Rhinolophus ferrumequinum: one gene and its partners. The protein of the gene in region 1 interacts with the protein of each later gene in a pairwise test. Links are inferred from orthologs where the notes say so. Each region holds a gene or a part of one and is shown on either strand. Other genes may lie near its edges.

Region 1 (6,895 bases):
ACACTCATTTAGAGTCACCACCATGTCTACACTACCTCTGATTTCCCAGCCTCTAATATAGCGGGCACCTCCTAAGCCCAGGGTTTAGCATCTGGGTTCGAATCCAGATTGTTCTGCATTTATTCATTGTGTGACCTTGGACAAGTGCTTTCCCTTCTCTGAGCCTTGGATCCCTCCCAGGGCCCTTGGGATCATGGCAGGGGTTGTCTGTAAGGAATGTGTCCTGTCTGGCACAGGGCAGACCCTCAACATGGCGGCTATCATTGTCATCCGGCTATGCAGGAGGACTTTGAAGGGTTCAAACACAACATGGTCTTTATAGGTCGACACTAAGTGGGCTAATATATTGGTGCCATATTGATTTTATTATGATCAACAATACATTTACATTTTTGGAGTGTTGAGCCCTGGCAACACGAGACATAACAGCAGTTGGTAGTGTTCATCATGGAGTCAGAAAGGCTCCCTCTCAGTTTTACCACTTTGTTTTGTTTTGTTTTTCAGTTTTACCACTTGAAAGCTGAGTGGCCTTGGACAAACCCGTCACCCTCTCTGAGCCTCCATTTCCTTGTGTAAGAATGTCTTATAGGATTACTGTAAGGGATAATGCATAGGAAATACTTAGTGCAGTAACTATACACAGTAGGTACTCAATACATATTTGATATTTTTAACACTTCCCATCAAAATCCTATTTGATAGAGTCACAATAATAAATCTTACTGTCCCCTCTGCAGATGGGAAATGAAGGCCCAGAGACTGACCCAGGATCCTACAGCACGTTAGTAATAGAGTCAGACTAGCAAACACAGTTCCCCAGGCCAGGGCTTTTTCTCACTAGGACTGGTCTGTCACCTTTCCTTGGGCAGGACACTGCCTGCAGGCAGGCACTCGGTGATGGTTTGGGACCATAAGATCTGTGAGGTCAGCAGCCTGGAAGTCTTGTCAGGATGTCCTGATTTGTAAAGATCTCCCTAGTAGCTGTGTCTCTCTCCAATTGGAGGCCCAACACTACACAAGCTCTACCACTCACAAACTGCCTGAGACGGAGCTGCTACTCTACAATCATGGAGACCTGGAGCTCGATCAACAGGGCCTACTCCCAGCTCTTCCCCTTCCCAGCTGGGAAAACTTGGGTGATTGACTTCACCTCTCTGAGTCTCAGCTTCCTCATCTGTGAAATGGGGATGATGAAAGTCATGCCTGATCCATAGCATTGTTGTGAAGCAGCAGGTTCCCTGTGCCTGGCACTGTGCCTCCTGGCACATGGGACCATAGCTGTGGATTCACGATAGAGAAACTGGCTATGTTCTCACGGCGCGTTCTCTGTTTATCAGGGCCACTTAGCTGGCCCCAGCGTCTCTCTCTCCCTCTCATATCTCATCTTTGTTCCCTGGTTCCTATCTCAGTATTTTTCAGGAGGGCAGCCTGGGCCCCTTCTCATTCACTGAGTCACATGGAGAATCAGGGTGGGGGGATAGAGTGAGCCTCTCTGTTCCTGCCTGAGAAAGAGGGAGACTGGCTAGGGTCACTCGTCCAACTAAGGGGACAGGATCCCAAACAGAGGAAGGAGGAAGAAGCCTGGGAAGCTGGGCACAGAATGGCTGGGGAGGAAGGACGGGCTCGCAGCAGCCGGAGAAACTGACCTTGAGCACTCCTGCTTGTAGATGTCAATTATGTTCTCCACCAGCAGATTCCTCTGCAGCCCGTACACTCCATGACGATCCATGATCACCTCATGGCGGCAGGAGGGGCAGCGGAAACGGCCTCCAGACATGGACACCGAGCTACCCCGGTTGGTCCAGTAGGGATTTGCAGCCTGTGGGTGGCAAAGGCAGAGATGAGGCCTGGGCTCCCTCCTCAGCCCTTTCTAATCTCCGATTATCCTGCCCCCTGCTTATTCCAACCATTTTTTTCAAACCACATGACCTGGAGCCCCTATCCTGAGAGGAGAGGCAGATCGCTTACACAGGGAGCACCTGAGAAGCAATGAAGCAATCAACAGGTTTGGGAGTCAGCAGGCCTGGGTTTGAGTCACAGTTATTCTCCGAGTAACTCGGGGCAAGCAACCTTCTTTCCAAACCTCAGTTTACCTATTCATCAAATGGGCATTGTAATTAGAGCCAGCTCCTAGGGCTGCTACTTTAAAGATAAAATAGTGACAGAACACTTTGTAAAGTGCTCCTGGGGAATCTTGAGTACTGCCTTCCAGCCAGGACATCCACTCTCAGTCCTTTCTTAGGGAGATGAAGCCCCTCCTCCCCTATATTAGAGGCAAAAGCCTGAAAGGGAAGATGCTCCACTGCCCAGGGCCTCCCGGCCACCCTCCTCCTGCAGCTCTGGGCCACCTGCCACCAGAGAGCTGGCTCCAGCCCCAGGGGTCTGGTTTCTCTCTCCTCTCTGCCTGCCTCCCTCACTTATCACTTGAGGCATTTGATTCCTGATTGAAGAGTCAACTGCGGTGCTCAGGGCAGAGATGGCCGGTGGCAGAGCTGCAGGCAGGGTGGGGAGGGGAAATATGCGTCATGGAAAAGGAAGGGCAGCCAGAGCTGCCTCCCCAGCCGCCCTCAGCCCTGTCCAGTGGCCTTTGCAGGGGTTGACTTTGCAGGGGAAAGAACCGGCCTGGCTTAGAAGAATCCTGGGCTAAGAGAGATGAGCTTTCATCACAGGAAAGCTGAGGAGCCACCTGGGCCCCCAGGACGAGGCCATGCCCAGAACTGACCTGGAAGATGTCACTGGCACACTTCCGGCAGAGGTTATGCTGACACGGCAAGATGACCACCGGCTTGGTAAACATCTCCAGGCAGATGGGACAGATTAACTGCTTCTCCAGGTTTTCCAGGGGGTTCCCATCCTGGATCAGGCTTGATTTATAATCCATACTGTCAGGAGGTGTGGGGCCCACCTGGCTGCCTCCTTTACCTGCTTCTGTCTGAGTAGACCTGCGGTCTTGCCTTTGTCACAAAACACTTGCCTGGAGCCTCTTGGCCTTCTTCTGTCGGCGCCTGAATTCTGTCTTGGTCTGAGGCCCCTCCGATATTTATAGCTGGACCCTGGTCACATGAGCCCCAGGAGGGGACCAGCTGAGCATTCCAGTGCCAGTGCGGCTGGCGGGGCTTGAGTTTCCTCCAGGCCTGCAAGACTGGCCTCTCAAATCACATGTACGTATGAGCAATCGCTGTTCCCCTGGGACGGGGGTCGTAAACAAGAACAGCCTGTTCGTGGGCACACTTGGGGGAGGACTGGGTACCCAGAGTTTCCTCCAGAAATCAGTCTCCTCCCACACCAGGCTAGGGATGGGACCCAGAGAATGGGCCACTGGGATTTGTGGGGTTAATAGCCAGTGCCCCCTCAGTGACCACTAGGTCCATCCCTGCTCTGGAATCCCGGGCAGCCCCTCTCTCTGAGCCCATCCCTCTGCCTCAGACCTGAGCACAGCATGTTTCTGGAGACTTTGAGATCCCCACCCTGGCTAGACTGACCCCCATCCCTTGGCCATTAATGCCACTGTAATGCTGAAAGGGCTCCCTTAAAACATAGTCCAATCCCCTCACTTTATAGATTTTGAATTGGGGTCAAATAAGGACCTTAGTCAAAGTCAAAAAAAGTAAGTGGCAAAGCCAGGAATCTTATTCATTCATGAGATATTTTTCTGAGTACTAACTATACATTGGGAACCAAGGTGACAGATAGATGAGTAATCCTTTTCTCTGCCCTGAGATGCTCACAGCCTCGGGAGAAAGACAGACAGAAATAACTAAGTTCTACCAAGTCACTTAGAAGTTAATCAGATGCTCCCTTCTGCTCTCTGCACCAATTTAAATTTTTCTCCATGTCCCTCTGGACATCTTCCGGGCTGACAGGTAGAAGTCATTACAGCAGTTCCAATGACTGCTTTTAAGGTAGAATCTCATGTAAAGGGACAGAGGGCCACCAGGCTAAGGTGCGGGGGGTGAGAGTAGGAGCAGTAACATCAGGCCTCAGGATGTACCTACGAGGGTATGGAACATATAGGAGTGTCCAGGACTTCATGGAAGAGGGATGGCAGGAGAGCAGGTTTGATGGCCTCAGTGTGGAAAGAAGTTGATGGTCAGAGCCCTGAGACTAGACCTAGTGAGTAGTGAGGGTAAGAAGCCAACCTTGGGGGAGGCAATAAGAGGGAAAAGAAGAGGGGGACCAGTCAGAGAAAGAGAAGGGGGCCTAGAACACACGGGGCTGGGGAATTTCAAGGAAAGGGTGGTTGCCCCAAATATTAATGGTTAGTGTTCGCTGAGCACTTACTATGTGCCAGACACTGTGCTAAGTACTTTGTATGCATCATTTCATTTCATCATCTCAACAACGTAAGAACCATATCCCTGAAAAGGGTTCCTTAGACCCAATTCCAATATGAGAGACAGAGGATTCCCCCAATACCAACAAACAATTCTCAGATACCAGCAGGGTGTCCAAAAATTCCATTCAATTCTCATGCTATCTACCCAGGTGATAGCATCAGATTCCACAGGTAAAGGGCTCAGTCCCAGAAGACCGCCCTCCACTTCAGACACCAGCCAAAAGCCCAGGCTCTTCTTACCTGTGTTTCTGGCTGACTGGATATTGATGGGAGGTTCCCATAGCCCCCTCCCCTTGGGTTCTATTAATTTGCTAAAATGGCTCACAGAACTCAGAGAAATATTTTACGTAATAGATCAAGGATTTATTATAAAAGGATATAATTCAGGAGCAGCCAGATGGGAGAGATGCGTAGGACAACGGACATGGGAAGGGGCACGGAGCTTCCCTGCCCTCTCCAGGGGCACCATTCTCCGAGGACCACGTGGTCACCATCTTAGAAGCTCTCCAAACCATGTCCTCTTGAGTTTTTATGGAGACTTCATGACATAGGTACGATTGATTAAATCATCGGCCCTTGGTGATTGATTCAACCTCCAGCCCCTCTTCCCTTCCCAGAATCAGGGGAAGATGGGGCTGAAATTTCTAACCCTCTAATCACGTGGTTGGTTTTCCTGGCAGCCAGTCCCCATCCTTGGGTGCTTCCAGTCACCTCAATCACATAACAAAAGACACCTTCATCACTCTCACCACTTAGGAAATAACAAGTGTTTAGGGAGCCTTGAGCCAGAAATGGGCGAAGACCAAATATATATTTCTTATTATAAATCACTGTAACGCAATCCTCATTCCACAGATGAGGAGACTCAGGCACAGAGAGATAAATAACTTGCATGAGGTCACACTGTTTGCAAAAAGTGGCTGTAGGACAGGATCCCAGATATGCTTGATTCAGGAGCCCAAGCTCCTCGTGTGTCTACCGAACTGTATAGGTCAACAGTGCCAGGCCCGCCAGGGGCTGCAAGAGGATGAAAATCGAAGAGGCCATCCCTCTTCCTTGCTCACATGACGGTTTTGTTCAAGCAGCATTTCTCCTGGAAGGTGGGCCTCTCCACTGCCACCAGAGACAAAACCTTATATCTGTCATGATAATCCTATTCTCCTTTGCCTAAAGATAAAAGACTTCCTCCCTAACAAAAAGTCAAGTACAAGAAGAAACGTTCATTCTTGCCTTTGAATGGGGTTGTATGCGTCATTTTATCTTGCAATCAAGAGAGGACAAGTCTAGGAAGAAATCTGCTCCCTGAGAAGGGCAAACAAAGAGGAACTGAAGAAAGCACTGGGGGCCTTGATGCCATCATTGTGCTGCCAGGTTACCCACCCCTGGAAATGCCCACCTCTTCACTAATATGTGACATAACAAATGTCCTCATGGTGTAATTATCCTGTTGCTTGCAGCAGAGAGCACTCTATATACATGCATGAGTCCAACTCCCTCAGGCTAACGCTCCTCAAATGTCCAGTTCCAGATCAGGCCACTCTCTCCCTTAAACTGAAGATTTGTCGGAGATGTCCACTGGGATATTCCAACAGCACCTCAGGCGTGTCATACCCCAAACAGAACACACCATCTTCCCCACACCAAGCTCCTCCTTCCCTTTTCCTTGTTTCATGCCTCAGGGAACAGCACTACCATCCACCCATTTGCGCAGACCAGAAAGTGAGAGCCATTCTTGGGCTCCCCGTTCCTCCCACTGCACACCAGTAAATCTCAGCAGTGAGCACAGATCCATCTTTACGTCTCAATTGTCATTCTCTCACCCGCGAGTCTGACTGTCCCTTTGAACTTTGAAGGCTTTAAGGGCAAAGATGATCTCTATTCATCTCTGTACCTCCAGTGCCTGGTACATGGTAGGCACCCAACAAATGTTTCTTAAATGAGTGGACAAGTGAATAAGTGAATTAAACAAGGGAACAGCAGTGTCACCGTCAGGCTTGGGGGAGATCAAGGTACTTGACTAAGTTTTTAGCTGAGAGTGCAGTCAGTGGAGAGAAAGTACTGGAAGATTGGGGTCGGAGGGGTGCTGGAGTAAATTCTAAAGCCTTGGAAAGGAGAGGGACACTCCAACTTTTGAGATGGGAGGAGAGGAGAGAGGAAAAGGTGGAGGTAAGAATCAGAGGTGTTGGGAGGTTCAGAGAAAAGTGCTCATATAGATGACCTCGGTCAAGAGAGTCAAGGTCAACTTCTAAGGCTGAGGCGGGGGAAGGGTAGCATGAATGGGTGGTGGGAAAAGTTTGGACCAGCCATTGTGAAACACAGGAGGAAGTACCCTAGAAAGGGGTGGAAGGACTTGTCTGGGAGCAGAAGAGCCTTGCTGATGCTTTCCCAACATAGATTTGCCATTTGTGAGGAGCCATTCACATGGGTCTGTTGACTCTCCAGCCACACTTGGCAGTCCAGGTGCCAAAGTGAAGCAAATGGACAGTGGGACCAACTCCAGCCTGGGAATTGGCAAGGCCTGCACTGCTGAAAGTCAAGGGGTGGGGCAGGGAAATTCCC
Region 2 (6,858 bases), on another chromosome or scaffold:
CTCAGGGGCCCCCAGTGTGGTGGCAGAAAACTTGACCATCAGGTCAGACTTCCAGGGAGTGCTGCCCAGTAGTGATAACCTGGCTGAGTCAGATTAGGCTTCAGGGCCTGCGCTGCGGTGGGGGCTGGAGGGTAAGCCCGGGCTGCCTTCACCCTTATGGTGTCTCTAACGTGCTCTGGTGCCCGAGTGGTCCTTCCTTCAAGGTCTCCAGAAGTGGCATGCAGGCTGAACTTCCCCAAAGGGTCCTCACCCTCTTCCCTTCTGCCATAGGCAGTCCAGGTTGAGTGGATACTGAGGCCTATGCATTTCTAGAGTCTCTGTTTTATAAAAACCATAGAACATTATGAATTCAAAAATAGAAACAAGTGAATTAAAATAATGAGAAATGAGAAGTTACCAATGTTATAAAGTTGACATACTACAATGCCAACTCCAGAACAATAACATTTGTGGTGACTTCTTGATACATTTCTGTAATACTTTTTCCCCCACATTCTGACTGCTCACTCTGATGGCCTCTATGTAGGGTAAGGATTTTGTAATTAAATATTTTCCATACAGAAAACAGAAAAGATAATTCGGTCTTCTTTCTAACATGGTTGATTGTGATTTGTGTTTTAGTTATTAATAGTTTAGAAAATTTGTTTCTCTATTTCTCTCAATTTGTTATTGATGGTGTCACATAAATGGCCTGGATTGTTTTCAATTTTGAGAAATCATCACCAACTTTCTTTCATATACATGCTGACTGATTTGGAAGAATTTTCCACAGATGGGCTTCTGAATCCATACATTTCAAACCTTGTTTTCCCTCTCTGGCCCCCAGTTTTTCCGGCACTGGACACTGTGGGGCAGGTTCTAAATGCAGTAGGATCTTGCACTTCTGTCCTGATCAGGAGTGCTGACGCAGCAGGAGGTCCCTGGAAGCCATTCCTACACCAGGACAAAAACAATGAGTTAACCATGCACAGGAGTAGAGCAAACCACAGAAATATTTCCCTCTGAACACAGACCAAGTGCGTCCCTGTACAACATGAGAAATGTGCTGCCATGTCCCCCTTCAAGGAAAGCCTGCTTCTCCCAGCGCCTGATGAGGCAGCCAGAGGATAGGTCCGCCTGAGCTGCGGAGAGCCCCATCCCAACTGGTTTTCTCCCTCCCTCAGATGCCAATCTTTTTGTTGTTTTTAAGATTTTGGGGGGGAAGGGGAACAGGACTTTATTGGGGAACAGTGTGTACTTCCAAGACTTTTTTCAAGTTGAGTTGTCCTTTCAATCTTAGTGGTGGAGGGCGCAGCTCAGCTCCAGGTCCAGTTGCCATTGTTAGTTGCAGCGGGCAGAGCCCACCATCCCTTGAGGGAGTCGAGGAGTCCAACTGCGAGAAACCTTGTGGTTGAGAGCCCACTGGCCCATGTGGGAATCGAACTGGCAGCCTTCGGCATTAGGAGCACGGAGCTCCAACCACCTGAGCCACCGGGCCGGCCCATCTTAAAGGGCTCCCTGGTAAACACCCGGATCTCCCTCTTGGAGTCTGCTCCCCAGAGAACCCAGTCTGGGACAATCTCCAACTCACCTTCCGCTTGGCTGGAACCCAAAAATGTCACAGCCTCTCCAATGTCCCCACATATAGGGAAGTGGGATAGAGGAGAATCCGAGTGGGAAAAGGACACAAGTCCTAACTGGATGCAGTTAGGTTATCTTAATTTTGCAAGTTTTCCAAAAATACTTGATCCTATGGACATTACTGGGGCCCCTCCCAAAGCCAGGAAGTAAAGGGCGTTCAAGGTTGAACTTCATCAGCCTCGTATTAGGCCCACTTCCATACAAGGTTTAATGAGCACCTACTGTTTGCTAGCCCTATTGTGGATGCTAGGATCTTCTGGTGTGCAGAACACTACTGGCTCCTCCCTCACCCACTCACAAATAGGGGAGTGTGGTCGTGATGGTGGTGAAACAGACTCAAGAAGGCAATTACTCTGCAGAGAGGTATGCTGGCCCAGTCAGGGTGGGGCAGGTGTGGGCTGATTGCTGGGACCTGAAGGATGAATGGGGTGACGAGAGGAAAGGGAGAGTGTTCCAGTCAGAAGGACTAGGGCCTGGTGGGGGAAGAGACCTTGACCTGTTCTAGGAACTATACAGTGGTAGGGATTTCAGGGGAAAGAAGAAGCTCTGGAAAGCAGGAGGGAGCAGGCTGGGGAGGGGCAGGAGTTGATGCCTCCTAGGGAAGGTGTGGAATCTGTGGGTATGTTACAGTACATGGCAAAAAGAACTTTGCAGGTGGAATTAAGGTTAAAGAATTTAAAATAGGGAGATTATTCTGGATTATTTTGGTAGGCCTAAAATAATCACATGAGCCCTTCAAAGCAGAAAAGGAGCACAGATTCAAAGTACTTGATCCTCTGCTGCTAACTTTGAAGATGGTGGAAAGAGCCAAGGAATTCAGGTGGCCTCTAGAAGCCGGTGATATGACCTCAGGTAGCAGCCAGGAAGAAAACAGGAAACCCAGTCCTACAAACCACGGGGATCTAAATTCTGCCAACAACTTGAATGACCAAGGACATCTTCTCCCTTAGAGCCTCCAGAAAGGAACACAGCCCTGTTGATGCCTTGATTTTAGCCCAATGAGATCCACATTGGACTTCAGGCCTACAGAACTGTGAGATAATACATGTGTTGTTCTAAGCCATTAAGTGTGTGGTAATTTGTTATGGCAGCAATAGAAAACATATAGATGTTGGTATCAAGAGTGAGGTACTGCTGCAACAAATTTTTTAAATGTGGAAATAGCTCTGGAATTGGGCAGTGAGCAAAGGCTGGAAGAATATCAAGGAGCATAACAGAAAAAGCCCAAATTGCCTTTGTGTGGGTTCAGAATGAGCCACCCAAGATATGCCTCAGTGGTACGTGGATTATTTTGAGCTAAAGTCAACTGAGGCCCTGTGGACTCAAGAGAAACTTTTACTCCTCCCCAACCATCTAGAGGAATTTGAATGAGGAGCCTTGCCCATAATAAGAGATTATCAGAGATAACCTTTGTTGACCTATCTATATGGCAGGGCAAACTACTAATCACAGCTATGTCTCACCCTGCAATGACAATCTGAAGCTTCAAGGCGCATTACTCACCCCTAGCTCAGAATGCCTTATGCATCCATTTTCCCTTTCTATCTCTGAACCTCTCATGTAGGTAAGGTTCCTTCCTGTGCACACAAAATTGAGCTTGATTTTCTCTTGTCAATCTGTCTCTTGTTGATTTTTCCACCAGCCCAAAGAATCAGAATAGGGAAAGGGGAATTTCTCCCCTCTCCCACACCTTCAACCCTTAGCAGAAACCTGAACTTGAAGAATGCTGCCAGTGAGGGCTCAGAAGGAAACGGGGAATGTGTTTTTGCAAACTATGAGAAAAGACCCAGGTCTTGTTGCTTGTGTGTTTTGTTTTCCAAACAAGGAATCCTTTTCAAAATTTAGTCTCAACTGCTCCTTTTTTCTTAGCAATATATTGTTCAACTCCTTCTAAGTCAACCGTTTGAATTTACTTCATTCTTTTAAAGAGAAAACCGTGACTTGCAGCAATCTTCCTCTTAGCCCCCGGATGAGCCCCCCGCCCGCCAGGCCGCTCTGGGTACGCAGTGGAACCGAGGCACCCGCGGATCGTGAGAAATATCGCGCACTCCGCCTCCCACTGGTGAAAAGGGAAGATGGACTGGACCTCAGACAGACCCGCGCGGGCCAACAGGGAGCTAGGTGGACTGATGCGCGCAGGTACCAGTGGATGCGCGGACAAAACCAGACACTAGCCAGGGGTGAATATCCTCGGCTTCCACCAGGGGGCGGCCGAGCGCCAAGGCTGCGGTACTGCGCTTGCGCCTCGGGCGCCGCCGCGTCCACTTTACGCATGCGTGGCGCGACCCAGGGCCGACTGGACTAGAAGATGGCGGCTTCCGCGGTTTGCCGGGCGGCCAATGCAGGGACGCGAGTGCTCCTGCGCACCCGCCGCTCGGTGAGGTGGCAGCAAGGGCGCGGGGCTATGGGATGTGGGGCTTCGGGACGCGGACAGGGAATGGGATGTTAGGGGCAGCGAGTCGAGATTGGGGAGGTCGCGGGGTCAGAGCCGTGGGAAGGTCACGGCCTAGGGCGGGGAGGGGAGTCTCTCGGCGGGCCTGGGGGCGGGGATGGGGATCCCCCTGCGGGCCTGGTTGCTGAGGGGCGATCCCCCAACCCAGTCCTCAGTCCCAGCCACCTCGTTCCAGCACCCGGCCCTGCTGAAGTCGCCTGCCTTGCGGGGCACCGCCACCTTCGCCCAGGCCCTTCAGAGCGTGCCAGAGACGCAGGTCAGCCAGCTGGACAACGGGCTGCGAGTGGCCTCCGAGCAGTCCTCCCATGCTACCTGCACGGTGAGTGGGGTCCCGCTGTCGAGAGGGGTCCTCCATATTGGAGCTGGAGTTTTCCCAGGTCTGGGGGTGACCTTGGGCTTGAGCTCTCTGTGGTTTGGGTCAGACTCCTGCTCATTCACGGCTGGATTGACCCTCCTACTCCAATCTCAACTCCAGCCCCACCTTGATTCCCGGGGTAGGGGTGGCAGTCCTCACTGTAGTCAACACTCATTTAGCATATGATGCTTGCCAAGCAGGAGGCCAAGTTTTTTTCCAGCGTTTTCTTAAGCAACCGATACAAGAGGAGCAATTCTGTCTCCATTTTACAGTAAGAAAAAGGGGCTTCAGAGACATCACGTGACTGCCAGCCTCACAGCTCAAAGTCCTAATCTCGCTAGACCAGTCATGCCTTGCGGAGGAGATATATTTGTTTTGTTTTGTATGTTCATTTATTTTGTTCTTTAGATTCCACATATAAGTAAGATCATATAGTGTTTGTCTGACTTACTTCACTTACCGTGATACCCTCTAGGTCTATCCCTGTTGTCTCAAATGGCAAGGTTGCATTCTTTTCCTAGCAGAGTAATATTCCATTGCATGTATGTACCACTTCATCTTTATTCAGTTGTATGTCGATGGGCACTTGGGTTGCTTCCATATCTTGGCTATTGTAAATAGTGCTGCAGTGAACATAGGGGTGCATGTACCAGGTGTGATCAAAAACTACGCGGAATGCTCCTGCCAAGTGCCATCCAGCAGAAAGGGATCTTTAATATGGGCAGTGGTGTGTCGAATCTTAGTAACAGTGTGTGACAAGTTTCATCTTATTCGGTGCAGCCAGTCAGGTGTGAGCTATGGCTGAGAGGTGTGTTTTAAAGTGTGCTGTAAATCATGGATCACAAACAACGCATTAACGAGAAATTTTGTTTCAAACTGCAAAAAAGTGGTAAAGAAACACACAAAATGTTAAAATAGTTTACGGTGATACTGCCTTGACCATGAAGATGGTTTACAAGTGGTTCAGGCGATTTCGTTAATGGTTGTGAATCAGTTGAAGACGAGAGATTGGGACATCCTTCAACATCAAAAACCCAAGAGAACGTTGAAAGAGTAAGCACAATGATTCGATCAAGCAGACAATTGACTATTAGAAATTTCTGAGGATCTGAACATCTCTTATAGTTCCATTCAAAGTATTTGAACAACAGATTTGAACGTGAAGCAAGTGAGTACGAAATTTGTTTCATGCGTTTAAACTGTTGAACAAAAAGCAGTAGCGTTGGTCAGTTTCGTTAGAGTTGTGTGATTGTGCTGCTTCAGGTTCCAGCTTTGTTTTTTTTAATCAGTGATTGAAATTTTTACTTTTTTTTTTTAAACTTTTATTTATTTTAAGTGTGTTTTTCTAGGACCCATCAGCTCCAAGTCAAGTAGTCGTTTCAGTCTAGCTGTGGAGGGTGCAGCTCACAATGTCCCATGTTGGGATCGAACCAGCAACCTTATTGTTAAGAGCACCTCACTCTTAACCAACTTAGTCAACTGGCTCCCACCCCCCGGCTTTTTAAGGCATCATCGCAGGAGATGAAACTTGGGTCTATGGTTATGATCCTGAGACCAAGGTTCAGAGTTCTCAGTAGAAATCACCCAGTTCTCCTCGTGTGAAAAAAATGCGTCAATCAAGACCTAACATCAAGATGGTGTTAATTGTGTTTATTGATCTTGATGGAATTTTGCAAGCTGAGTTTGTACCAAGGAAAGCTGGTAAATTCTAAATAAGCCCTTATTAGAGCATTTAAGAAATGATGTGAGTAGCAAATAGAAATGGGCAAATGGTTTCATCCTCCATCATGGCAGAGCTCTGTGTGGTCACACATTGCTTCTGGTATATGGCAATTTCTGTCAAATAAAAGCGTTAGGGTTTGTCCTCATCCACCTTATTCCCCAGATCTGGCACCATGCAACTTCTGGCTCTTCCCCAAAGTCAAAATGACCATGAAAGGTAAACGTTTTGAATCGATTCAGGACATCGAGGCAGCCACGATAGTGCAACTAAAGACACTCATGAAGGAGGACTTCCAGAACTGCTTCAGAAAGTGGCAAGAATGATGGGATAAGTGTGTTTGAAGCGAGGAAGAGTATTTTGAGAGGAATTAATGGCAATGTGTTTTTTACTATAATATTTTTAATTTAAACATTCACCCTCTTTTTTAATCACACCTCATATTTTTTTGAATCAGTGTTTTTTATTTCCTTGGATAAATATCCAGAAGTGGAATTGCTGGATCATTTGGTCAGTCTATTTTTAATGTTTTGAGGAACCTCCACTCTATTTCCCATAATGGCTGCAGCAATTTGCAGTCCCACAGTGCACGAGGGTTCCCTTTTCTCCACATCCTCACCAACACTTGTTTGTTGATTATTGATGATAGCCACCCTGACAGGTGTGAGGAGATACCTCATTGCGGGTTTAATTTGCATTTCCTTGATGATT
Region 3 (7,175 bases), on another chromosome or scaffold:
GATGCAATAACGCTCTTGGTTCAACTATGAATTCAACACTAAAATTATTTACTTCTAACACAGTGCTTACAATGAGAGTAGCTGTACTGGACAGGAAGAAATTAACACCCATATATTTTGCCTCAAGTCCAGTCACTCAGAAATGAGTTCAAAGACATTCTTTCATACCTTATTCAAGTCCACTACAGCCCTTATCCCATGAGGCTGCCATGCCCACTGCAGAAGGCGCAGACTGCATTACCAGGGTATAGGGCTGTGCCACACTGCACCTCAGCTCGTAGGGCAGCAGAGAGCCTGGGGACCTGGAACAACCATTTTTCACTTAGTTGAGACATTTTTAACTGCAGGAAATACATGCTTTGTTATTTGACTCACTGAAAGGGGAGAGGGGACTTTTTACACCTGCAAAGATTACATGTTTCCCGCTCACCTGATGAAGAGGATTCTCTCAAAAGCTGATACGTTGAGAGGTTCAGTCATCCTCCCCACAGACCTGGTGATGGGTTACCAGCCCCTCAGAACAGCGCCACTGCATTCCCAGCACCATCCTCAAACAACCAGAGGGCAAATTATTTGCTAACAATGCTGTTCCCCTAGGGAGTGGCCTCACCCTCAGTACAGCCAATAGAGGGTTAGTGCCCCCTGCCTTCAGTCCTAACTTCACACTTACCAGCTGGCTGAGCGAATCCTAGAACCCAGCTGGCGGGTAGGGAAGATTTCAGTCTTGGGGTTGTAAGTCTGTTTCCGCTTATAGCCAAACACCAAAGACTGAAATGCCCTCCCCTTCCTTTGTCTAGAGGTCCCCATTCTCAGGAGACCTGTTTGAAGTGCAGTTACAAAGTCACATTATTAGCTACTTTGTGAACACTGTACCAGGATCCCTGAGGGAATTGGTTTCCAGGAGATGTCTGGTATTTAGAGCCTGCCTCCAAAAAGGAACTGTGAGTGTGTGTTTGGGGATGGCATCAAGATTAACCCTTATGCTCAGTTACCTGTTAATTGTGCTCAGTGACTAAAAGAACACATTTAGAGGCATTTCTGCTGGACTTCTCGCCAGAGATGAGACACTACAACACACATACACCTAGATGCGTGCATAGAGACAAATCCTTTCAACAAGCATGAGGAAAATGTTACTCAGTTTACACATGGCAAACAGGCCCCGGGGCTGAAGGCCCTCCATCACTCCTGTCAGTATGAGTCAAACCTGATTCTAAACGCCTGTTGACACCTCCCAATGCCTCTATCCACCATACACCGACGTCACCTATCAGGTCACTTGCATAGCAGGGGATCGATGGCCTGGGTTTGAATGAAGCACACGGATAAGAAGCCAAGGGTGCCTTTAAATAACCTTCAGACCGCAGGTGCTTTCCTGCTTCTTCAAACCCTGTGTGATGCCACCCTGTGAGGCCTCCTGTCACCAAGCCCTCCCCAAGCAGGAAGGGCGTACCTGCCTCACCACACTAACCAGTGATAACTTCTACCGGTATGTTCGTCCTCTAACGAGGCTGTGAGCTCTGTGGGCAATGGCCAGTATAGTTATCCGGGTCTCCATCCCCCTCCCCGCAAACAGCTTCTGAACAGTTTTTATTGAGTGAAGGTGGTACGTGGCACCAACCACCAGACCTATTTGTCCGCTACCCACACCTACTCCCACCCACCCCGTGACCTCCGCGTTCTACAATCTGGGCGCATCTGTGAAGCAACGTGAAGCAGAGGCGAGGAGGCCTCCGCGCCGTACGGACGGCTGGCTGGCCAGGCCCGAGGTGAGGCTGGGCGGTAACGGGTCCGCAGGCCAGTCGTCCGGCGGGGCGGAGCGGGGCCGGTCCCGGGCGCCGGCTACTACGTGCAGCTCCGCCGCGGCGGGATGGAGCCCCGCCACGCTCCCGGAGCGAGCGCAGCGCCTGGGTCACCGCATCGAATCTGGAGCACCCAGGTGCAACCCTTTCTTTCCCTGCAGCCGGAAAGGCCCAGGGTTACGTAACCCGGGCCACCGCTGCATCCCGGGCCGCACCCGACCCAGCTCTGCCGGCCCGCAGACCACTGCCCTTCGTCGGTGACCCCGGACACGGGTTCCAGGAGTCGGAGACTGGAGCCGTGATGGAGACGGGGGACACGAGTTGGGGGGCGGGGTAGCAGTGGGACGAGACCAGATGGGCGGGGGAGGGGGCGTGAACGTGACTAGACCCGAGTGGGAGGGGCGAGGGCCGCACCGCGCAGAGAAGGATGCCGAGGAGCGGACGTGACCGGAGTGGGGGGGAGGGGCGGAACAAGCGCATGAATGGGGTAGCTGGCGGCACGAGGTGGGCACCGGGAACCTGAATGCGGGAGGAACGCGGAGGTTACAAGGAAAGCATCAGAATAAAGAGGCACGGGCAGGTGGAAGACGAAGGGCGAATGGATCAGTATTAAGGGGCAAGGGGAGGAGGCGAGCAAGAGAGCAAGGGGGAGGGAGGAGAGGAAAGGAGGTTCGGAGGGCATGTGGGAAGGGAGGCGAGGATCGCACCAGAATTGGGGTAGGGATCGAGGCAGGAGAGGATCTGGCTGAGTCATCTGACTTTGGAAGAAACAGGAGCTGGGGGCCTTGAAGAGCAGGCCCTAGGCGCGAGCAGCTTCTTTCTCCTCTCTCCCGACCCCAACCGGGTACAAGATGCCCAGGATCCCGCGCCGCCCCGGAATGGGTGCCCTGTGTGCGCAGACCGGCCAGATTCCGCACTAGCCGGGCGATGGAGCCCAGGTGGGGACGGATGGCTCAGCCTGTCTCCCTCCAGCTCACCTCCGGTGTGGTCTCGCTCGGGCTGCGGGTACACTGCAGAGAGGTCAGGAGGCTCTGCGCGCGTCGCTTCTGCGTGCAGCCGACTGCCTCAGCCTCAAGGTTATTCCGACTACAAGGCCGCCGCAATCCCTCCGCCGCCCCGCCCCCCACCCAATCCTGGCTCCCCGCTCGCCCGGCCCGCCCCCTGCGTCCCCGAGGGGAGCAGTCCCTTCTGTAGGAAGTGCGGCGGCGCCGGAACAGACAGTTAGGTTGCCCTTTGGGAAGGACTACATTCCGTGGCGGAAGGATACGGTACATAAAAATCGATCCTCGCACTCTGTGAGGAGCCAATGGGGAAGCGAGGAGGCGGCAAGACCCGCCCTCGGAACCTCGGAGTCCTTTCCTCCCAGACCCCCGGGCGCCTCGGCCACCTGTTGCCGCCAACTTAGAACGCTGGAGGAGGGCTGTACTCCTGACCCTCGGCCCAGGCCACCCCAGCTGCCCTGGCCTATTCGGGCGGTTCCCAGATTTATGGGTCCAGGGGTAGCATTCCCCCAGCGCCGCCCCGCGACGTCCCACCCCTACGGGTGCCCACCCCAGCGCACACCTCGGGGACTGGGCCGAACAGGAGGTTGGGGAGCTCGGAGATTTCATGGGATGGTTGGAGGTCGGGCCGGGAGTGGGGGTAGGGAGAACTAGGGAGGGCGGGAGGTGCTTGGAGCGGGAGCGGGAGGCCTTTGTTCTTAGGGCTGGAACAAGGAAGGACAAGTTGGGGCCATGGGAATACTTTAGTAGGGGCTGGAATCCTGCAGAGCACGAGCCTGGAAATAGAAAGCGAGTAGAAAGTATTACTATTAATGCAGAACTGATCGTCAAGAAATACTCAGAAGGTGAGGGCCCATTATCTTTGCAGGAGTCAGCGCTTGTTTTCAACCTTGTGTATTTAAATCAGTATTGTTTTTCTCCAAGGCATTTTCCAATTTCTCGGTAATTAGCCACAACCACTGAAAACAGTAATCAGTGAAACAGCTGTTAACCCTTGCCTTCATTCAGCCAAGTTTTGAGAGCAGATACAATGTTACTTCATTAAAAATCCTGAAGGCTGTTCTTTTTAGGTTCTGTCCGTTTCCTGGAAAATGGGACCAATGGGTGTGACCTGCTCAGGCACACACCCTGCCGGCAGCTGAATCACAGGTCTTCATTATGATTTCCTCTAGCCCAGATAAGCTGGGAGGAGAAAGTGACAGCCTACAAGTAAATTTCTGTTTGAGATAAAATATTTCATTTCTTCTGTGAGCCTTTTCTGGTCTCTTTAGTCGTAGATAGGAAGTAAATGCTTGTTCATGGAGGTAGGGAGAGCACACGAAGTTGTGGAGAGGAAAACGGGCCATACCCCACCAGGGATAATGACATTCCTACCCAGAGAAAAAGGAATAGCATGATCGGCCCTTACAGGGCCCCTCAGCTAAGAATGAGCTAAGTACAGGGGAGGACAACACGGGGAGGGGGATGGGCAGGCCAGTGCTGTACTACCTTGTGTTTTAAAGTTCTAAATCGAGATACATTCCCAAAATTGAAATGCACAGCTATTAAACTGATGAGTTGGTGGCAAACTATTGCCCTTCAGTGACAGAGGTCGGTCAGCTGTTATAAAATGCTGTCCATGAAACGGGCAGAGACAAATCCAGCATATCCTGCTCACGTTAGATGCATAGTGCACATTTGTCACATTGCGCTTAAAGTGTTGTCTTTTTGCGGAAAGCAGCATAGTATAGAAGAAAGCTTAGGTAGGTTCCATCATATCTGAGTTCCAATTCCACTCATCAGTCCCTGTGATTGTATACTATACTGTGTGAGTCCAGTTCCTTGTAAATAAATGGAAGACAATTCCTGTTTCCCAGGGTCGGGTTTGATCAGATGCTGGGTGTGAATGAGCACAGCACTGCCCAAGAGGCATCCTTTCCTTGGGAATTGACTAGTCCTGGACGCTTGTCCTTGTAACTAGGGTGAGAACGCCTTTCTGAATTCTAGTAACTCATTTGCCTTTCTGTTGGCCATCCTCCTTAATCTTCACTCCCTTGACCCAGCAACAAGTAACCCCAGGAGTGCAGGAAACAGGAAAGCTGAGGGAGGACACAGATTCTCCTCGCAGCCAGGCTCCTCCTCCAGAGCCTTCCATGCTCACTGACGTGGCCAGATTGGCGTGGTAGCTGCGAGGCTCACTGGACTGGGCTGTGAGTGAGGATATATACTGCTGTGCTCTCTGGGTTCTGGGCCACAGAACCACAGAATCTGGAGTTTAATGGCTTCACTTGCGAAGGTCATTTGGAGTCCTTGGTGGGGTAGGTGTGTCAGCAAACAACAGTGAACCCAATCTTGCAGCCCAGAGATGAGTTTTGGCCCTGGTTACAGACGTGACGGTCCGTGCGTGACCTCTTGGCCTCTGCCAGAAACAGCAGTGTTATTTCTCAGGACAATCCAGATTTCCAGGGCAGCCCATAGGCCCTCAGTGGCAGGTTTAGAGCAGAAGTGTTTATCACTTTGGAGTTTATATGCCCTTTCCAGAGCCAGACCAAGTAGATCTTTAAATTTATTCTGTGCCTGCCTTCAGACTCCCAACATCTCTTCAATCCCACCAGGGTGGCACAAGAGTTCCTCCCCGCCCCCCTCCGAAAAAGTCTAGAAGGAAGAGGAAGTTGGTTTCTTTGGCGTTGAGGATACAGAGAGAACAGGCTATCTGTGTGGGAAAGGGAGGGTTTCATGGAGGAGACATGGAGGGTTGGTTAGGATAGAGATGGGTATGGGAAGGCCATTCCAGGGAAAGGGAACAGTGAAGAATGTTTTCTGAATGCAACTGTGTATCTAGGTCCCCCCTCCTGAAGAAATGCCCCACCAGCACTTGGAAGAGGGAAGAAGCTTGAGGACTCCTTATTCATTCCAGAGGAAGTACAACCTCAGCCAGGGTCTCTATCAGCTGATGGGACCTCCAGCAATCTTTCTCTAGCTCAGGACTGCTAGGGCTCCCAAGAAAAGCCTCCCTAGCGTGGGTTAATCCTGCCCGCCAAACCCTCCCTTTGAGGCCCTATGCTTTCTCCCTTTTCCCTACAAGTGTAGCCAGAGTTCAGGCTCCTTAAGATGCAAATGTAAGCAGATCTTATCCCTCAAAAGTCATCAAGATTTGGAAGACCACCAAGAAAGGCATCGGTGAGTAATGGGTCAAGTGCCCCCTTCGCCGGAAGTCCTCTTGCTGCATGCAGTTCACCAGTCTGCTTTTTCCTTGGCAACATGCTTCCAGTCTCCCCCTCTGTGCTCACTGGCTACCAGCTAATCTGACCCACTTATTCCGGAAAGGATGGCTAGGACTGAGGACACTCTGGTCTCTGTCCTAGATAATGTTGGTGGGCAATGCTTTAACTTAAAGGGTGGCATGTTTGGCCCCATTGCAGGGGGGTTCTGAAATACTTACGGAAAGTCCTGTCCTCCAGAGAGAATGATGCCCCTTCGAATGAATTGAAGCCTACTTTATTCCCATCCTTTCTGGGGGAGGAGGACTCTGGGGAATTGTGACTCATGAATTCCTTGCCACCACTCCCAAATTGGGCCCAGAAGCTGAGACAACTTCCAAACCTCCATCTTAGAATCCATCCTGTAAGTAAGCTGGTAAGTAACCCAATAATGACTCAGCACCAGACTCTTTTCTCTCTCTCCCCACTGGCCAGTCTGAAAGGCAGAATCAAGCAGAAGGCTCTTCCCCTATGGATGGCCACATCCTCCCCACAAATGAGTCAAGGCCACACCCTGCATGGATGGAAAATTACCATCAGAGAGAAGCAGAAAGTTAAACTCTCTGGGGTTTTTGTGTTCTCAATCCAGAAATCACAGCCATCTACTCTCCACCTGGAACAAATTGTGAGGTAAATAGTTCTTTTCCTGGCCCTGACCGTAGCCCTAAGGAAGCATGTCCAGGTCTAAATGCCGTAAGGCTGCTTGAGCCTGGGACTATATGAAAAGAGGCCACTGGCAACCTCTGCGTGCAGGATGTGTAATAGCTTTGGCCTCTGAAGGAGGATGATCTCTTGCTCAGACCTGGCTTTCACAGGCCCCACCTCCCCACCTCCAAGGTAGCCAGCCAGGCCTGGGTGAGGGAAAGGGGCTCCCAAATCCCTCTGCAGGCTGTGGGAGAATTCCTCTCCAGAAGCCCTGCAAGTTTCTCTGCAATGGAGGCATTCTTGTCATAGGGTGTTCTTTTTTTTTTTTAAATAGGGTTTTAATTAGATTTGTTTTACAACCATATATGGGTATATTTTGAATTTTTTCAGATGTGATTGTGTATGGCTCTCAAACATCTCAGATTCAAAGTCCTGTTGCTTTTATATGGGACACTACAAAATGGGGTTCAGTAAGTCCTCAGTGTCAT
Region 4 (6,904 bases), on another chromosome or scaffold:
GTGTCCTATCTCAATATAAATATGCAAAACATTTTGTGATAAAGGTTTCTTCATGATCAGTCTTAGAATTATCCTTGCATTCAGAGGATAAATGTATAAATGGAAAGGTAATTCAGTAAGTAAATCTGCCAACCAGGCTATGTTTAAAACAACACAACCCACCACCAGCCTCATGCCCTAAACACAAATCTCAAACCAAAATATTGATTTAAAAAATAATCTAAAAGTCATATAAAAATTGTTTTAACAATATTTAATAACATAGTCCACTCAATATTTTACCAGCCTAAAGTTACCTTTAGGTTAAATTTAGGTTATACACATTTAACGTAACTTAATAAATCAGCATTCTTGACTAGCTACCTAGAACTAAATGTAACCTCTGTTAATTACAAAATAAAGATATTGGAATCTCTGTTAAGAAGAGATTTCTTGAGTAACATTTGGGTTTATTAAGTGAGAGAAATATATCATGTTAGATTTAGACGGAATCAGAGGTCATCTACGTGAAGTTCCTCATTCTACAAATGACTAAAACATAGGTGATTGGCTCATATTGTTGAGGGCTAGTTCCTCATGCTTCCTTGACCTTGGGATAGAGAATTCTCCAAGTATTTCTTGCAATGAAGACAGTGAGGGCAAGAGTTTGGACCTGAAGATCAACAGACCTGGAACAATGTATGTGACATACATAGTAGTCATAGAAATCAATAGATAGTAGTTATTACTTCACCGCATTTTTTTTTTTAAGCAGGACCAGTTTATCTCTAATAACAGTGATTTCTCACTTGGTCTCCTGGAACCCCTTTAGCTTCTGGGATCTCTAATTGCCTTAGCAGTAGCTACCCTATAAACAAAGTTTCCTCATGGGGTCAAGGAAAAACGAAGAGTGTGGAACAATAGATAAGACTGCAACTTATTCAACATTTATTAAGCACAATCTATGTGTTTGTCAGTTTCTCTACTGGACTTGCCTTGGGAAGATGGCCAATACTGATTATCTAAAACTTTTCTCCATGAGTACCTGTGTTTAGCAGTAAGCCTTTAAGACTTAAAAAGACTTTGCATCTATAATATCTTTCATAGGAGATTACCACCTTTTTCATTAATAAAACTTTCTATGGGGAAAATTACTGAGTAAAAGTTCCATAAAAGCTAACAAGATTTTATGGAATGTCTACCATGAGCTACATTGCACTAGGCAAGATAAATAATAAACAGTCCCTTCCTTAGGAAAAAAGTTAACCTAATTGAGGAGACATATTATGCCACATAATAGTCCATTATGATTTCCTGTTTCATTTGAGTCTCTCAGCAACCCTCTGATTTAGGTTAGTACAACAGATGCTATCTTTGTTTTTCAGTTAATTATTAAAGCTCAGAGAGTTTAAGCAACCTGTCTAAGATTACACAGTAAGTATGTAGAGTGGGCACTAAGACTCAAGTCTCCAAAATAAAAAGATCAATGTGTCTAGAAAGTTGTGAAACTTAACCAAATTAATGTTATCATTTTTACCATTCGACTCCAAACTCAGTGAAGACCCATTATTATTTCTTGCTTGAGAAGACTATGAGTCAAGTGCTAGAATGGATATTTCAAATTACAAGTGCTACAGTGGGATTCCCTTTCACTATATGTCTATGCAGAACTTCAGCAATCACAGTGAATTATGCATAACCTGAAAATAAAATGTTCTTCACTCTTTAGTCCTTTCATCATCAATGGGACATTTCCCTTCTCAGTTGATATAGCAGAAATTACCTTCATCACATTCATCACACACATCTGACTTTAGAAGAAGCTCACAGCACCCTTTTCACAATAGCATATATACTTCACATTTTGAAAAACAAGGGCTATAAATGAAGAGGGAAAGAATGAGTGACAGTTAAACAGCTACCCTTCCACTGATGATGGGACAAAAAGGAATTCCCTTAAAATGCAACAGGAAATGTTTCGGTGAGATAGTAGGAAATTACCTACATTTTCTAAGGCATTAGAATGACTTGCCAGAGGCTCTTACTGATAATTTAGAGAAAGAACTAGGAAAAAGTTGTCTTTGGAGGCAGGTTAGAACATGGTTCACCCATTTGACATCTCAATGATTCTTTCAGGTTTAGCATGATTTTTCTCAAATAAGCCATTCACGTTTGTGAGAAAACAACATTCAAAAAAGCAAACCAAACATTAAAAAGTAGAAAAACAGACTCATAATGGATTACTAAGTATAGCCCCTACATTTAATGGTCTGCAAAATGCAGTCATCAAAGAGGACCTTCCTTACCTTTCCCAAATCACCACCTGCCACCCCATTGCAATGAGAACCTCAGCCTAGATATACCATGGAACTACTACACTGTAACCAATGTTATATCTTACAAAGGCCTAGGGAAAAGAAGAGGCAAAGCTTAAAGGATTAAAGAGTAAAATTTAACAGTTTATCCTGGGCGTCTTCCCTACTTGGCTGGTAGGAAATATCTCAAACTTTTAGGCACTAAGAAACCTGAATCTAGTGTCTCCTCCCCTTGCCCCAATCAAAACCTGTTCTCAGAAAGAACCAAATATCCATCACATACACCACATGTGAAGTGCCCAGAATAGTGCCTGATTCATAGTGAGTGCTTTAAGTGGTTACTCTCATTTTTATTGTCATTTGCATTTACATTTTAAGTCCTTCTAATTTGGATTAAAAGACTTTTTCCCTGTTGATGGAATCTGATCAGCAGCAGATGTGGAGAAATATTTTGGGAAATTCCTGAAATAAGACTTTCTAGGCAAACACCTACACGTCAAGTCTAGTGTGCTTTTTCTACTAAGTAATGGCTGCATGCCCAGGCATCAATTACCAAACTTTCTCTAAACACCAAAGGAAGATACACCTACATAGTCAGCTGTGAAGAATTTTATGTGGCTCATATGTGCTCAAACATCTATTTATTGGGCCCTAATGTACACAGGAACTAAATCAAGACTGGAGTACTCATGAGGGAAGGAAATAAACACATACGCTTTAAACAATAGAACCACACCGAAACTGAAGCCACTGAAAGGGGATAATTCCACTCAATTGGCCTGATCCTCATGCCACCTAGTCTTCTCCACCATCTCTTTCGTTGACTTAAAATTTTCTTCCTCTGTAAGTATTTACTTCCCTGCACAAAAAATGGAAACCTAAACATCACGATGGTCTCCTCGGTAAAATGACAAAGGAAAATGTGTAACTGTTAGAAGAAAGGGAGATAAAGGAGAGTTGACAGCACAGAATCCTAGTGGTACAGATTGCTTATTTGTTTGGTAGTTTAAGTGTTTCGGAAACTTTTAGAATAAAATTACAAGGTCAAGGCAGCATAATACCATATAGATTCAGAAAACTTGCCAAAGATATTAAATTGTATTTTTCCACACCCTGTGACACACCACTGTCAATCACCCAGCTCTCCTGCCTTTAGCCAGACCACACCCCCTTTCTTGAAACAATCTGCTTGATCCCTGCTCCACCCCCACTCATGTTTAGCAAGAGGGGGAAAAAGCCTTCAGATGAACAACTATCCAATACAAAATCAATTTGGACCCCATCCACCACTGGTCTAATTCCTGGAGGAGTCTTATGAGATACACCACCAGTCGTAGAATATATGAAGGGATTCATAGTCCTTCTTTCTTCAACAGGGAAGTCAAAGCCCCCACCACGATAAAAGAAACTGAGTTTTCTTTATACTTTTTCCCATTTCCCAATTCACTGCTCTTCCCCCAAGAGCTTGTTAAAGCTCATAGCTAAAATTCACATCTAAAATAAAAAGGCCTGCAAGAGAAGCTCATGTAATCCCACTCCTTAAATATCACTAAGACATCTGAGATATTGTTTAGATTGTGGACTCTTACTTTGACATGCCAGCATAGGTAGATAGACAGGCGAGCACATCAGATGTCACTGTTTGGCAGCCGGTAAAAGTCAGTGGTGCTATAATATTAAGCACAGAGCCACTAGATTAGTCTGTGAGGGAAGGGGATGCCTCTTCCTTCCCTTCGACCGTGAGTTAAACCCAGCTGGCACCCTCTGGAACTACCGGTAAGTCCCTTCTTTATTCCTGCTAGTTTTTTTGTTTTGTTTTTTGTCCAAATCAGCGGAGTGTGTACAGAAGTGATCTTCAGATAGAGTTTGAAAGCCACAACATCATAATGGTATTACACAAAGATTGGAAGAGAAACTGATCTATTCATCCCATTGAAACTGGAAGGCATTATAGAAAAGGTAGAAGAACAGATAGTTATGTTATTATTTTTTAAGCCATCGTTTTTCCTTGAAAGGGGACACTTGGTCTGTCTGTAATTGTGGTGATATCCTACAGCTTCAAAATATCCTCAGTTTTGTGTGCAAGTCTGTGCTATAGTAGAGATAGGGGGAAAATGTTAAGATTTTTTAAATAGGAGACTGAATAGTATTTTATTTATGAAATCTTTACATTTATTTAACATTATTTAGAAGGAAATGATACTGTAATGTAATAGAATCTAATCTAGAACTGAATTGTTGAACAGTAATTATAACCATGAAGAAAAGACTTTCAGAGTTACCTGTGTGAATATCTGTATAAAATTTGGTAAGACAAGAACAAAATAAAATTTTTCAAAGAATATATTTTTAATTGAACTTCAAAAAATAACAGTAAATTTTAACTATGTAGGCCAATACCAAAATGAACAAGACAGTTGACATTCTAGAAATATCTGTGAAGAAAAATAGGGGACTTTGGGGAAAATATCTGCTAGCTATTTGTTAAACAGTTTATTCCTTGCTATTTGAAATGAATCTGAATCATTTGCCTGCCCAAAAAGGAATTTAGGAACCAAACTAGATTCAATTCTTAATGGAATGAAATTAACTATAGAACTACTTGCCTTGAAATAGAGTCTTTTTTTAAGAACTATTTAAAGCCTCTTTCTGGATGTTTTTCCCCAACAATTTAAAGGCCTAATTTAGTTAATTACTAAAATTCACTCTAGTTGAATGTACTTGTGATCGTAAACTTGAAATTAAGTATTATATGACTTTTTCAGTGTTCTTTTCAATAGAATCTTTCTCTTGGCTATTTAGTTGCATTTTTGTTCTTTCCTAAAGCTGCTAGTTTTCATTTAAACTACATGCACAACCATAGAATGAAGTTGTCTAGAAATTTTTCATTAAAAATGATACTTTCTTCAAGATAGGAAATAAAATAATTATAAGATTTTGTTTCAATAATGACAAACACTGGCTAATTTTATTAACTAAAAGTTTGATTTATCATTACCTCAGTGTTGGTTCTCAGTATCTCTATGTGAAACAAACTAAATGTATTTTGGACTAAATTACCTGATATTTTGAATAAAGACAGAATCAATACTACAACAATTTATAGGGCTAGCCTTTGTGTATAATGTCTGCATACAGTCCTGCTTAGATTTACTCCACTAATGGGAGAAATAGAGGGATATATAATTGCTTAAGGTGATTTTAGTGACATATGATTCATCTAAAGAAAACTGGGGATCTACTGTAGGAAGTCAGGTAAACCAATGCAGAGAAAAGTAAGAGAATGGCACCCATCTTTTCTTGGTAACATCTAGGCTGGCTTCATAGTTGTTGCCTTACTTCCTTCTGTACATCCTGTTTGCTGCTCCAAAAGGAAAAATAAGAGAGAGGCTAAAATAATTTCAAAATTAGTCTAAAATACATATTAAACAGGTAAAAATAATAAAAAGTAAAATTAAATAATTAAGAGAACATCAAGACCAATAGCTAGATAGCATAATCTAAAAAATAACAGAAAAAATTTACAAATGGCTCTGGAATGCAGTCAGTAACATATATTATATACACACAGAGAGACACAAACCCACAGTCACTCTTGAATCACAGTCTAGTTTAGTACTATGGTCAAATTTGGAATCAAGGGAAGAAAAACAAGCAGCAAATTGTAAGGTGAAAAAAATCCACTCAAAGTTGACAACAGAGAATTATAGATGTTCACTCTGTGAAATTGTGTAAGGGTGAAGGAATAAATATGGATATTAAAATACTGTTCTTTACAAAAGCCGCATATTGCTCCCCTTGATTTACCACGACATCATTCATCACAGATCACTAGGACATGAGTTAATTGGTATATCACAAGAGCTGTTCATTGCTTTCGATGAGCAATGAGAAGGGTTCAAACTGAATGGAAGCTGACATGTTATATATTTAACTGCTAATATGTAATTTTAAATCATTGAATCTCTGTGCTTAATGAAACGGCAGCCTCTGGGAAAAAGCTGATCATGAGACCATAAAATTATCACACTGAGCAACATCACAGTGTATCTTTTCATAAATAACCACTTGACAAACTTTGCGCTCCTGCATCTGGAAGCCCCTGGGCATGCTTTAAGAATTACCCAGAGCAAACACCAATGAATCCTTTTTTCTTATTCTCAAGGGAAAAGTCATTCATTCAAAATAAAAGATGAAGGAAGGGGAAGTATAGAAGCCAGGAAAGTTCCACCTTGAGATGACCTTGAAAGCATATAAGCTCAAAAAAAAAAGCGCATTAAGTTCGGAAGGATGTTAAATAAACAGTACTGTTTTTATACAAATACTGTAACTGATTCATTTTCTCCTTTTGAAGGAACGATATTCTTCAAGAGAAAGCCACTCCATCAAAGCCAGGAGCACAGCATTCCCAGGATTTCCACAAGGGGCACACCAAGGCTGCTTCTGACTCCTTGCGACTTTCTGTAATTCCAGGCTTGCAGCCCCAAATTCAGGATCCCACCCCTCCAGGAGCAAATCACTGTAGTAATAAATTGCCTTCATCTTCCATATACCAGCTAAGCATGTTTAACTACGAACGGCCAAAACACTTCATCCAGTCCCAAAATCCA

Evidence for each region.
Region 2: the proteins of TRIM63 (region 1) and cytochrome b-c1 complex subunit 1, mitochondrial interact in a two-hybrid assay, tested with the Homo sapiens proteins (2 studies listed by BioGRID and IntAct). The link is inferred for Rhinolophus ferrumequinum from reciprocal best matches to the Homo sapiens genes TRIM63 and UQCRC1.
Region 3: the proteins of TRIM63 (region 1) and PKM interact in a two-hybrid assay, tested with the Homo sapiens proteins (3 studies listed by BioGRID and IntAct). The link is inferred for Rhinolophus ferrumequinum from reciprocal best matches to the Homo sapiens genes TRIM63 and PKM.
Region 4: the proteins of TRIM63 (region 1) and MYOT interact in a two-hybrid assay, tested with the Homo sapiens proteins (2 studies listed by BioGRID). The link is inferred for Rhinolophus ferrumequinum from reciprocal best matches to the Homo sapiens genes TRIM63 and MYOT.

The regions. Positions count from the first base shown.
Region 1 is NC_046292.1:17,858,603-17,865,497, forward strand, and holds the start of TRIM63 (E3 ubiquitin-protein ligase TRIM63), read right to left. Parts: upstream 3,024-6,895; 5' UTR 2,882-3,023; coding exon 2,723-2,881; intron 1,820-2,722; coding exon 1,647-1,819; intron 1-1,646. UniProt on the Homo sapiens protein: E3 ubiquitin ligase. Mediates the ubiquitination and subsequent proteasomal degradation of CKM, GMEB1 and HIBADH.
Region 2 is NC_046300.1:7,507,622-7,514,479, forward strand, and holds the start of cytochrome b-c1 complex subunit 1, mitochondrial, read left to right. Parts: upstream 1-3,844; 5' UTR 3,845-3,928; coding exon 3,929-3,997; intron 3,998-4,220; coding exon 4,221-4,391; intron 4,392-6,858. UniProt on the Homo sapiens protein: Component of the ubiquinol-cytochrome c oxidoreductase, a multisubunit transmembrane complex that is part of the mitochondrial electron transport chain which drives oxidative phosphorylation.
Region 3 is NC_046289.1:97,339,768-97,346,942, forward strand, and holds the start of PKM (pyruvate kinase PKM), read right to left. Parts: upstream 3,003-7,175; 5' UTR 2,780-3,002; intron 1-2,779. UniProt on the Homo sapiens protein: Catalyzes the final rate-limiting step of glycolysis by mediating the transfer of a phosphoryl group from phosphoenolpyruvate (PEP) to ADP, generating ATP.
Region 4 is NC_046307.1:13,099,725-13,106,628, forward strand, and holds the start of MYOT (myotilin), read left to right. Parts: upstream 1-3,899; 5' UTR 3,900-4,070; intron 4,071-6,648; 5' UTR 6,649-6,856; coding exon 6,857-6,904. UniProt on the Homo sapiens protein: Component of a complex of multiple actin cross-linking proteins. Involved in the control of myofibril assembly and stability at the Z lines in muscle cells.